Mus musculus: one gene and its partners. The protein of the gene in region 1 binds, or shares a complex with, the protein of each later gene. Links are inferred from orthologs where the notes say so. Each region holds a gene or a part of one and is shown on either strand. Other genes may lie near its edges.

What was found.
Region 2: the proteins of Eif2b4 (region 1) and Eif2s1 are in contact, whole or in part, in a cryo-EM structure (PDB 6O81), measured with the Homo sapiens proteins. The link is inferred for Mus musculus from reciprocal best matches to the Homo sapiens genes EIF2B4 and EIF2S1. Residues at the interface, in NP_001029288.1 of Homo sapiens: Asn245, Glu246, Glu247, Arg250, Thr285, Ser520, Ser521, Asp522; in NP_004085.1 of Homo sapiens: Met30, Tyr33, Met45, Arg55, Arg57, Arg75, Glu79, Lys80, Tyr82.
Region 3: the proteins of Eif2b4 (region 1) and Eif2b5 are in contact, whole or in part, in a cryo-EM structure (PDB 7D46), measured with the Homo sapiens proteins. The link is inferred for Mus musculus from reciprocal best matches to the Homo sapiens genes EIF2B4 and EIF2B5. Residues at the interface, in NP_001029288.1 of Homo sapiens: Arg357, Tyr393, Pro396, Glu397, Lys466, Arg467, Glu469; in NP_003898.2 of Homo sapiens: Arg163, Lys294, Arg339, His340, Glu357.

What each region holds. Positions count from the first base shown.
Region 1 is NC_000071.6:31,187,004-31,190,232, reverse strand, and holds the end of Eif2b4 (translation initiation factor eIF-2B subunit delta), read left to right. Parts: intron 1-224; coding exon 225-352; intron 353-486; coding exon 487-664; intron 665-2,138; coding exon 2,139-2,319; intron 2,320-2,432; coding exon 2,433-2,632; 3' UTR 2,633-2,675; downstream 2,676-3,229. UniProt on the Homo sapiens protein: Acts as a component of the translation initiation factor 2B (eIF2B) complex, which catalyzes the exchange of GDP for GTP on eukaryotic initiation factor 2 (eIF2) gamma subunit.
Region 2 is NC_000078.6:78,860,648-78,864,998, reverse strand, and holds the start of Eif2s1 (eukaryotic translation initiation factor 2 subunit 1), read right to left. Parts: upstream 2,928-4,351; 5' UTR 2,819-2,927; intron 1-2,818. Other genes in the region: Atp6v1d (V-type proton ATPase subunit D), read left to right, coding at 3,540-3,580. UniProt on the Homo sapiens protein: Member of the eIF2 complex that functions in the early steps of protein synthesis by forming a ternary complex with GTP and initiator tRNA. This complex binds to a 40S ribosomal subunit, followed by mRNA binding to form a 43S pre-initiation complex (43S PIC).
Region 3 is NC_000082.6:20,501,784-20,505,430, reverse strand, and holds part of Eif2b5 (translation initiation factor eIF-2B subunit epsilon), read right to left. Parts: coding exon 3,624-3,647; intron 3,528-3,623; coding exon 3,447-3,527; intron 3,189-3,446; coding exon 3,111-3,188; intron 2,902-3,110; coding exon 2,589-2,901; intron 787-2,588; coding exon 641-786; intron 233-640; coding exon 91-232; exon of another isoform or gene 75-90; intron 1-74. UniProt on the Homo sapiens protein: Acts as a component of the translation initiation factor 2B (eIF2B) complex, which catalyzes the exchange of GDP for GTP on eukaryotic initiation factor 2 (eIF2) gamma subunit.

The DNA of each region.
Region 1 (3,229 bases):
GCACTTGCACGCAGACCCATTGTTATGTATACTTATACAAGTAAATGGCACAAGACAGTCTATTTCATCCTGGCTGACCTAGAGCTCAGTAGATTGGCCAAGCTGGCCTCAGATCCAGAGATTCCACCTGCTTCCTAAGTGCTGGAAGGTGTGTGCCACCATGCTTGGCACGTACGGTATGCCAACCAGAGGGTGAACTGCATCCATGTTCTCTCAACATTTAGGCCAAGTCAGAACTTAGAGAAGCCCTCGACCGGTACGTGCAAGAGAAGATCGTGCTTGCAGCTCAGGCAATTTCACGATTTGCTTCTACAAAGATCAGTGATGGGGACGTGATCCTGGTATATGGATGGTATGGTCAGCACCTGAGTGAGAAAACTGGGGAGGGGACTGTCAGAAGAAAAGGCTGCCCTTGCCTTTGCAGACAGGCTGGCTACCAGCCAGTCACTTGAATAACATCTCTTCTCCTTCTCCATCCATATCTAGCTCATCTTTGGTGTCGAGAATTCTCCAGGAGGCCAGGGTCGAGGGCAGGCGGTTTCGGGTGGTGGTGGTGGACAGCCGGCCCCGGCTGGAAGGAAGGCACATGCTCCACTCTCTTGTCCGTGCTGGGGTCCCTACCTCCTATCTGCTGATTCCTGCAGCCTCCTATGTGCTTCCAGAGGTGAGGGTTCTCACAGCAAAGGAACTCCAGAGATAAAAGAGAAGGATAGAGTAACCCCAGCATAATAGTCTTACCTTGTGTTCTTTTCTTTTTTCTTTCACACTTATTTATTGTGACAGGAAATAAGGAATAGTGGGGTGGGGGTGGGGGGTGTTGAAGTCAGAAGACGATTCGGAAGAGTCAGTTTTTTCCTTTCTTTTTCTGTTTCTGTTTCTTTTTTTTTTCTCTCTTTTTTTCGTTTTTTTTTTTTTGTTTTTTGTTTTTTTTTAAAGATTTATTTATTATTGTATGTAAGTACACTGTAGCTGTCTTCAGACACATCAGAAGAGGGAGTCAGATCTTGTTACGGATGGTTGTGAGCCACCATGTGGTTGCTGGGATTTGAACTCTGGACCTTCGGAAGAGCAGTCGGGTGCTCTAACCCACTGAGCCATCTCACCAGCCCCTTGGTTTATTTTTTTTTGTTAGTTTTGTTTTGTTGAGACAAGGTTTCTCTGTGCACTAGTTCTGTAGTCCTGGCTGTCCTAGCGCTTGATTTGTAGACCAGGCCGACCTTGAACTCACAAGAGATCACCTGCCACCATACTCAACTGAATCAGTTCTTTCTTTCCACCATTTATGTCCTGAGGATAGAATTTAGAATGCCAGGCTCCACAATGACTTTACCCAGTGAGCCATCTCAGTGGCCCTTACCTCTTATTTATGCATTTGATTGTTTATGTTTTAGAGAGATAGGGTTCTCTGTATAGCCGTTTTTTGTGGGGAGAGGAGAGGAGTCAAAGGTCTCGTTATGTAGTCCTGGCTGGCCTGGAATCCACAGGGATCTGCTTGTCTTTTCTTCCCAAATACTGGGATCAAATGTGTGTGCCACCACACCCTACACTTTGATCCTTAATAGGAAAAAGCACCTAGCTTCTGGGTGGAGCATTTGGGTGCCAAGGCAGGTGGATCTGAAGGCCAGCCTGGTCTACAGAGTAAGTTCCAGGACAGTCAGGGCTACCCAGAGAAAGCCTGTCTCAAAAAGCCAACAGAAATGGCTGGTGAGATGGCTCAACCAGTTAAGAGTTTAACTACTGGCTATTCTTCCAGAGGTCTTGAGTTCAATTCCCAAGCAACCACATGGTGGCTCATGACCGTCTATAAGGCAATCTGATGCCCTCTTCTGGCATTTAGGTGTACGTGCAGCAGAGCACTAAATACATACATACATACATACATACATATTTAAAAAAGAGAAAAAGCAACTGCTACATGCAGTAATACAATGTAGCTAATACAAGAACATTATATTAAAATAGCAGCCATTAATAGAATAAGCAGCTTTGCTGTGATGATAAAAGATATTTTCTAAGAGCAGCAGCAAATGAGGTTTGTTGCTTACTGCTGCTGTTCTGGGCAGAAGTGGGGAACTTTATTATATACTGAATAACATGACTTTTTTTTTCTCCATGTCCACACTGTCTAAAACAAACAGGTTTCTAAGGTGCTATTGGGAGCTCATGCACTCCTGGCCAATGGATCTGTGATGTCTCGGGTAGGGACAGCACAGTTGGCCCTGGTGGCTCGAGCTCATAACGTTCCAGTACTGGTCTGCTGTGAAACGTACAAGTTCTGTGAACGTGTGCAGACTGATGCCTTTGTCTCCAACGAGCTAGGTAAGCAGAGCAGAACGGAGGCTTCCAGGTACCAAAGAGAACTTGAGACAGGGAGGAGAGATTAGCCATGTCCTCTTTGCTAAAAGGATGTTGACACCCACTTGTCATTTCAGATGATCCCGATGATCTGCAGTGTAAGCGGGGAGACCAGGTGGCCCTGGCTAACTGGCAGAGCCACCCGTCCCTCCGGTTGTTGAATCTGGTCTATGACGTGACTCCACCTGAGCTCGTGGATCTGGTGATCACAGAGTTGGGCATGATCCCTTGCAGTTCTGTGCCTGTTGTTCTTCGAGTCAAGAGCAGTGACCAGTGAAGGGAACAAGGGTCAATAAAAAGCTTACTCCCTACTCCCATGACTCTGCTGCCTTTGTATCTTTGAGCATCTCTACCTCTTAGGTCAGAAGCCCACACTCTGCTACCTTCATCACCTACTTGAACTTGTCTATGGAAACCCTTCCAAGGTGTTTAGCTCCAGGCCAGTGCTTTGGAGCAAGATGGTTTGGGTAGGTATCAAACCTATTCATAGACCAGGCAGAGTGGCACTCCCAGAATTCTCCTTTAATCCCAGCAAGGGTAGCCAGTCTCTGTAAATTTAAAGGCCAGCCTGGTCTACATTTGAGTTCCAAGACAGCTAGGGTTACAGAGTGAGACCTTGTTTCAAAAACAACTTCTGGAGTCGGAGAGGTGGGTCAGCGGTTAAGAGCAGGGGCTGTTTTTCCAGAGGACCTGGGTTAGATACGCAGCACCCATGTGGTGGCTCACACCCATCTGTAACTCTAGTCTCAGGCCCTCTTCTGATCTCAGGCACCAGGCATGCTTGTGATATACATACACAAAAACAAAGTACACTTACACATAATAGCTGGACATCCTGACACTGCCTTTAATCCCAGCACTTTGGAGGCAAAGG
Region 2 (4,351 bases), on another chromosome or scaffold:
TATTAATCATAACCTACTTACTGTTGTCAGAACTCAGAAGATAGGTAGTAACTATCGCCCAAAGGCCTAAGAAAATAAATGTGACATTTTAGTAACTTACTTTCTAGGCAGATCTATGAGTTTTGAGACCAGCTTGGCTGACAAAGTGAGTTCCAGGACAGCCAGGGCTATACAGAGAAACCCTGCCCCGAAAAATAAATAAACAAACACCCCCACCCCCAACAACCAGACATGCACATAGTCCCACTACCAACTGGGAAGATGTATGTGGCACTTGCGCATCTGTTTCTATCAGTATGACTATTACATGATCTGGCCATTGCCTAGCTCTTTGACATACCACGTTCTCTCTAGTTCTCCCTATTTGAAGATAAGGAAATGGAGGTGCAGGCTGAGCAACTTGCCCCTTTATATACTGATATGTGGTGGAAGTCAAAATTTGAGCCTATTAAATTTTGAACTATTTGTGCTCTTAAAATTAGACTATATTAACAAATATCTTAGCAACATCTAACACGATCAAAAAGTAACCCTGATAGACACTCAAGTGTTGGACGTATGTATCACATACTCGGCCAAACTACCAGGACAGAAGTGAAAGTACTGTTTATCTAAAAGTAACATGTGGCGGATTCATTTCTCCTCTGCTCAACAAAACAGGGATTTAGTAAATAAAAGAAAGTATCTACTCAGCTAGAATACTCATTTGGAAACAGCAGTTCCATTTTTTAAACAGAGCTTCTCTTAAGGGAGGGAATGCAAATGCTTTCAAATATCTGTATAGAGAAAACTCGGGAATTAAACAAAGACTTCCAAAGTAAGCATCAAAATAAACACTGTAGAAAAATGTCTAACAATGCTAGGAGATTTAAAAGCTGCTAGTCATATTTATTAAGCAAATTTCTCCAAATAGTAGCATCCAAAAAGGTGATGCTTTTTGTCTTCATCAGCTGGTTAAAGGTTACAGGCAACAGGGTAAGAGAACACAGAATGGAAACATGGCCACTACTTTAAAAGGCACAAATCTGTTTGCAGAATATGGAGTAAATAATGAAATGGTATATTACTTACAGTAGAAAGAAAGTATTCTGAAACTACAAAGGGATTCGTGTCACAAAGAACTTACTTGTTGGCTGATTGACTAAATCAATTCATAAAAACAATTATTTAAAAAAGAGCCCATGTTTTTTTTTTTCTGTCAATAAAACAGAAATCAAGAATTTATTCAGTCCTTTTTGATAATTTTCAAAGCATTCTGACTTTTTTCATTTTGCAATTTAATCTGTTAAAACAATTTTGGGGGTAGTCATTACTTAGTATTAAGCAATTCTGACACAAAAATCCCTCCCTAGGGAATTAAGTACTAGTGGGAAAACAAATTAGGATTACAAGGTGTTCTGAAAAGGCCCAAAAAAGTATTAACAGGAAACCAAGGAACAGAAATATAAGTGACTTCAAAGACAGATACATAATATACACTAAAAACAAGAACTAAACTCAAGTCTTTAACACAAAATCTGATATCCACAAAGTTTCCCTGTATCACACACAGTATGACAATGTTAAGGGCTCTCCCACCCCCCCTTTAGAGACAGGGTTTCACTGTGCAGCTCTGGCTGGCCTCAAGCATTTTCAGTGCTGGGATTAAAGATATGTGTACCTCACACCTCTCACAAGGGATCCCACTTCTGTAGTTAATGCCATACAGACTGTATGTGTTCTGATGTAAACAAACAAAAACACACTTCAAAGCTAGTTTCAAATACCTTGCATTATTAGTATTTTGCCCCTGTTAACTTCTAGAGTCGGTACATTGTCATGTCACCATAGCAGATATGGGCAATGAACATTCCAAAATAAAATGTACCACGCTGGGAAAACGCTGTTCAGCTCTAAAGTTTACTAGTACAACTAAGTCTTTTGAGAATCAGGGCCCACCATCTGGCATCATAGGCACAGAAAAAGCACTACAATTTCATAACTGACATTTTTGATGAACTGTCGAGGGTCTCCACCTCTTTAACAACAACTTGAGGAGGAGAAAAATCAAGACTTTTCTGATGTACCCTTTCTTCAAGAAACAATGTTTGTTCCTTAGTGGAAATTAAAGCATCCTAAATATAAGGGGGTGTTTAAGAGCCCCAATGCGAGTACACACTTAACTCTAAAGTTTTACGCTTTCAGCGTCCATAATTACAAAACTCCAGTTTTATTTTCGCAGTTACCCAAACAGGGCAAATAACTTCAACAGCTGATTTTAAATTCCAGGAATTCACTCATACAGAAATGCACAGCTAGAGCGAAAACTTAACGACCTCAACACTAATAGTTCCATTTTGGACTTTTTTTTAACTTAAATATGGTGGTTTATCCTATTGTTTCTTTGGCGAAAAGTTCAGTCTCCACAGAGAGAAAAGTTTTGGCAGTATCTTGGGGCTGAAAAGAAGGATAAAAGAAAGAAAAAAAAAAAAAGCCCAAATTCTCCGGTCCGGTAAAAGCAATCGTCTTGAACTAGGAGTGGGACTGGAGTCGAGGGTTCTCCAGAGGCCTCCCCACCACAAGACATCTTTAAGGAGGCTGTAAAAATCTACTTGGCCCACGTTCCTTCAGGGGTTCCTCCGCCCGTCCAGCCACGTTTCTGGCTCGCAGGAGCAGACACCGGCTGGCGAGAGGGCGCAGGAAATCACCAGCGGGCGGTGGCGACGGGGTCCAGACACTTCCCGCGCAAGAACGGGAAAGGGGGGGTAGCCCGGGGCCTAGCCGCACTGGACAAAACCAAGGCGAATCCTCGGGGAGAGCAAGCTGCGGGGCCGGTCACCTGAAGTGGATGTGTGAATCCCGAAGTAGGGTCCCACGCCGTGCTGCTTAGTGGCAACGAGGAGACTCGGAACACCAACCCCGGACGCCGAAGCTCCTCAGCGTGCGCTTCGCCCAACCCAGCGCGCATGCGGAGCCACCTCTCACTGCGCAGGCGCCGACAGAAAAGGATCCTTCGTTGCCACTAACCATAGAGTCTTGGTCCTCCTAATATGGGCGGTGTGAACCAAGGGACGAGCTGAAGAGTCACTGCCCCTGGTATTTATAGATTTTTTTGCGGAGGGAACTTGCTAGGTTTAAAGGAGAGGTAAGTTTCTGTTTCTTGCTCCAGGATGATCGCTTTAAGTTTTAGTCAACCAAGAGAGGGCGCTGTGACGAATGGCGGAAAGCCGAGGAAGAGGAGGAGCGTGATCCTCTCCTGACCCATCCCTCAGAGCGTGCTGGGTGCCGGCGACTCGCCGGAGGGAGGGGCGGTGGAGAGACCCGGAATTCCGGACTGTGCGCGCTTCCACATCCGGGCATTCCGTCTCCTCCCCCTCCCTCAGTCCTCGCCCAACAGGAACCGGAAGTGGGAACCGGTTTCCTGGTTGCCTCTTAGCAACGCAGTTGTCAAGTGACCCGGTCAGCTGACTCCCGTGGAGGCGGGCACTGGGGTAACCGGTTCTGGAGGTGTTGCGGTCCCGATTGTCTCGCCGGGGGGCCCGAGCCGAGTCACCGTCAGGATGTCGGGCAAAGACCGGATTGAAATCTTCCCTTCGCGAATGTAAGTTAAAGACTAGGACAAGCGACAACCGTGTTCAGGCACATCTTCCCGGCGCGCATTCCTGCGTACCCTTGGCCACCAGCAAGGTTCCTTGGTTTCTGGGTCGCTCCTTGAGCTTTCCCCAGGGTCTTCGTTTCCTCTGAGTTCCGAGCGAGGTTTCTTTCCAACGCTCCCCTCCCCTGCTGTTTCTGAGAGAAGAGGCCGGAGAAAGTGGTTCCAGTCCACAGGAAAAGGGGGTTCACCTGCTGGCAGCTTTTGGAGGTCGATGCCTTTACTCACTCATTCCGCACACCCTTTGAGCCACACACGGAGTTTACATAACTGAGCCGTCGGCGCCATCTCTACCTCCCAGGGCTCATCATTGCTGAGGATTGAGATGTAGACGCTGAGGTCTGACCAAAGCTCCCAGACGGGAAGTTATGTGACAGGGAAGCAGCTAGAAGGCCCCTCAGCCAAAGTGACATTGAATGTGTCACCCTCTCGCAGCTGTAGGTTTCAGTCTTGGATCCCGTCAAGTGTTATTTGCTGTGGGAAGATATCCCTGCATTTCTGAGGTATTCCTATAGCCCTGTGATGACTGCACTCTTTACGTCTAGCAAGTGTCACTCATGACACTGTCACGCGGGTATTTATTTGGGCTGTCTCCTGGATGAAGGAGGCATCTTTTTAATGCATAGAAGGTCCACAGAAAATTGTTCCTTGAACCCTTGCTTGGGATGTGCTCAGTTACAGGCCGCCTTTCTGCTTTGGGTTAACATCCTTGTTAGGAGA
Region 3 (3,647 bases), on another chromosome or scaffold:
GCAGCAGCATCTCTCTCTAGAAGGGAACATGCTTGTCTATGGGACAGACAGACAGACGCACAGATGCCCCACACCTGTTGAGCCTCACACCTTTCAGCTTCACTTTCTCCTTTTCTTGGTCAGCTCCAGAATCATCACTAAACTGGCCATCATCTTCATCTTCCTCTGCATCTGGAGGATGCAAAGAGATCACCGAGCCCTCCGGCAGCGTGATGTCTGGGCCCACTACCACCTTAGAGGAAAAAAAGAATCAAGTAGCCCAGACTTCATCGTGCACTGAGGAGAACTGTGGTTTTTTGTTTTTTTTTGGTTTTTCGAGACAGGGTTTCTCTGTGTAGCCCTGGCTGTCCTGGAACTCACTCTGTAGACCAGACTGGCCTCGAACTCAGAAATCCGCCTGTCTCTGCCTCCCAAGTGCTGGGATTAAAGGCGTGCGCCACCACCGCCCGGCTGAGAACTGTGTCTTGACAATCAGAACAATGTTTTTTGTTTTGCTCTGGTTTTATACTAAGCTAAGCTGAAGGTTAGAGAAACTGGGGCTCTTACTGCAGTCTTGTTTACAGGGGGAAATATGGTCCCCTTTGACTTGGCACAATCACTATTCAATTTTGGGGTTGTGCAGAGTCTGAATAAGCCTTACCTGGGAAGTGAGAACACAGTATGGCTTCAGTTTGACTCGCTCCTTGACCTCAGCTCTGTCACAGAGCAGAGATTGGTGTATTTGTGCTCCAGCAGCCACTCGAACTCCCTGCCACAGGTAGGCCTGGTCCAGTACCACATTATCACCTGGCTCAGAATGAGGAGGACTTCCGGTCACTCAGGGTCCCACATCCGAAAGAGTCCTTCACAGAGGACAGGCTGATTGACACCAGCCCCAGCCCAGCTCCCATCTAGCTGATATTCTACCTGCTGACATTAGAAACATTCAGTCCCTTCCAAGGTTAGCCCCAAGAGCAAAGTGACCATCCTCTACTAAATTTACAATAATTTTACACTATATGTATGGCTCAATCTGAGAACCCTCAGGATTTCTCAGAATGAACCATAAACCTTATTACAATCATGTTCACACCTACAAGGAGAACCCAATGACTCCACCTCTCTGTGTATTACGGAATATGAATCCTACTGTTGTCCTTTTAAGGTCTACTACTATTATTAGTCTCATATTCTTCAACCAAAGTGAGATGTCAAGAGGAATACAAAGATTATAGGAGAGCAAAAAAAAAAAAACATGGAGAGAGCTGGAAAGATGGCTCAGCGGTTAAGAACACTGGCTGCCCTTCCAAAGGACGGGGGTTCAATTCCCAGTACCCACATGGCAGCTCACAGCAGTCTGTAGGTTCAGTTCCAGGGGATCTAACAGCCCCACAAAGACATGCAGGCAGAACACCAATGCACATAAAACAATAATAAATACACTAAGAAAAAAAAAAAAAGAGGGCTGGAGAGACGGCTCAGCAGTTAAGAGCACTGACTGCTCTTCCAGAGGTCCTGAGTTCAATTCCCAGCAACCACATGGTGACTCACAACCATCTATAATGGGATCTGATGCCCTCTTCTGGTGTATCTGAAGAGAGCAACAGTGTACTCACATACATAAATAAATCTCTAAAAACAAAACAAAACAAAACAAAAAAAAGAGCCCACAACTAGCATTTAGGTCCCAACATTGCCTTACATTAGATGTTACTGGGACAGGAGAACTAGCACATGCAGAAGCCTTCTGTAAGCTGTTACGACTGGACAAAGGTCATTAGTACACACTAACTCCACTTGCCTCCAAATGTGAACACAGGACATTTCAGAATGTAAGAGTCACACACAGACTAGGTAGAGCTGTGGTGGTGCTCACTTTTAATCCCAGCACTCAGGCGGCTCTGTTAGTTCAAGGCCAGCCTGGTCTACAGAGTTTCAAGATAGCCAGGACTATGTAGAGAAACCCTGTCTCAAAAAAACCAAGCTGGCCATACAGCCCTGAGGCAATCTATGCTCCAGAGTGGATGGGATCATATACAACTGTAGCCAACTGACTTCCTTTGTCCTGCCCTCCTGCCATTTTGTTTAAGACAAATTTCGATATACAGTTCTAGGATGGTCTCAAACTTGTAATCCTCCTACCTCCATCTCCTGGTGCTGGGACTGTAAGTGTGGGCAACAGTGGGTGTGTGTGGTGGCTTAGGCCTTTAATCCCAGCACTCGGTCTGTGTGCACCAGCAAGCACGAGGACTCTTTCTTTTTCTTGTTCCTTTGGCCCAAGATTTAGTCAATTTAACGTTATGTGTGTGAGTGTTTTGCCCAAATTATGTATGCACACAAAGCACATGTTTGGTGCCTGAGGAGGTCAGAAGAGGTCACTGGCTCCTCCTGCACTTGAGTTATGAGCTATGAATCCTGGGAACAGAATCTGAGTCCTCTGCAAGAGCAATGCACACTGAACCACCTCTCCATGCCTCTGCTCCTTCCTTATGATAGCCACTCTAGTTTCCTGTTCATAGGATTGTCCCTCGGCATCCTCCCTAGCTTCTGGAGACACACTGCAGCCCCGTATCTATAGGACCGCTGCTGGGTTCCCCACCTGTGCTCACCAATATGGCAGTTAGGGCCGATGACACTGTTGGTGATGGAGCAGTTGCTGCCGATGACAGTGCCAGCTCCCAAAAGCACATTTTCCTCCAGGACGCTGCCATGGCCCAGGCTGACTTCAGGCCCTCGGTAGATGTTGTGTCGGGAATGAGTGTAGCTCTGGGTGGTGCTGTCAGTGAAGTTTACTTCTGGAGTGAGAGGGTAGACCCATCGGCGGATGACGTCAGCACAAACAGCTGAGTACATGTGTAGGTTGGAGACCCGGGCACCATATTCCCTAGTTGTCACATGCAAGTGAATCTGGTTTCCTAGGACCTAAATGAGAAGGGGTGGTTACCCAATCAAGCGAGGCAGGAAGACGAACCCCAAGCATGTCACCTTTCTAAGCCTTTTCAGCGCCTCTCACTGACATAGTCAAACGACCAGAGCTTTCGTTCTCAGGCTTAATGAAACACAAAAGGGAACCAAAGGCTACCAGAGTAAGATAAACCCTTTCTACTAGAGGTTTCGGAAGCTCTTCTCACCTCCTCATTCATTAATATGCCTCGTACAAAATCATCTCGAGTTTGGTAGTCAAAATTGTCTGTGAAGAGCTGAGCTACCTGTGAGGAAAACAGAGCACGCTAAGGTTAAGTACTTTACAAGTAACAAGCCCAGAGAGCTATGAAACCCAGAAATGGCTGTGGGACAAAACCCTAGATTTGGTTCCCAGCATACTGGGAGTCAGGTAATGGTACCTCTCTACTATACAACAAGTCAGAAAAAGAGGGAAAAGATGCATACCCTGGCCTTGAAAGGGAGCAATTACAGACCCCCGAGAGCTCTACTCTGGCTACACAGCCCTGTTCTGGAGAGTTCACCTGAGGAGAGCAGATGCTGATGTGACAGTCCAACAAATCATATCGAATCTCCACTCCGTCTCCACTGCCCTGGAACAGGCTCTGAAGGGAGAAGTGGCAGGCAGAGGCTTGAGCTCACCTCTCTCCTCGCAGCTCCGCCTTCTCCTACCCGAGTTCCTTCCCCAGACACCCAGTTACCAATGGAAAGGAAAAGCGCCGGAG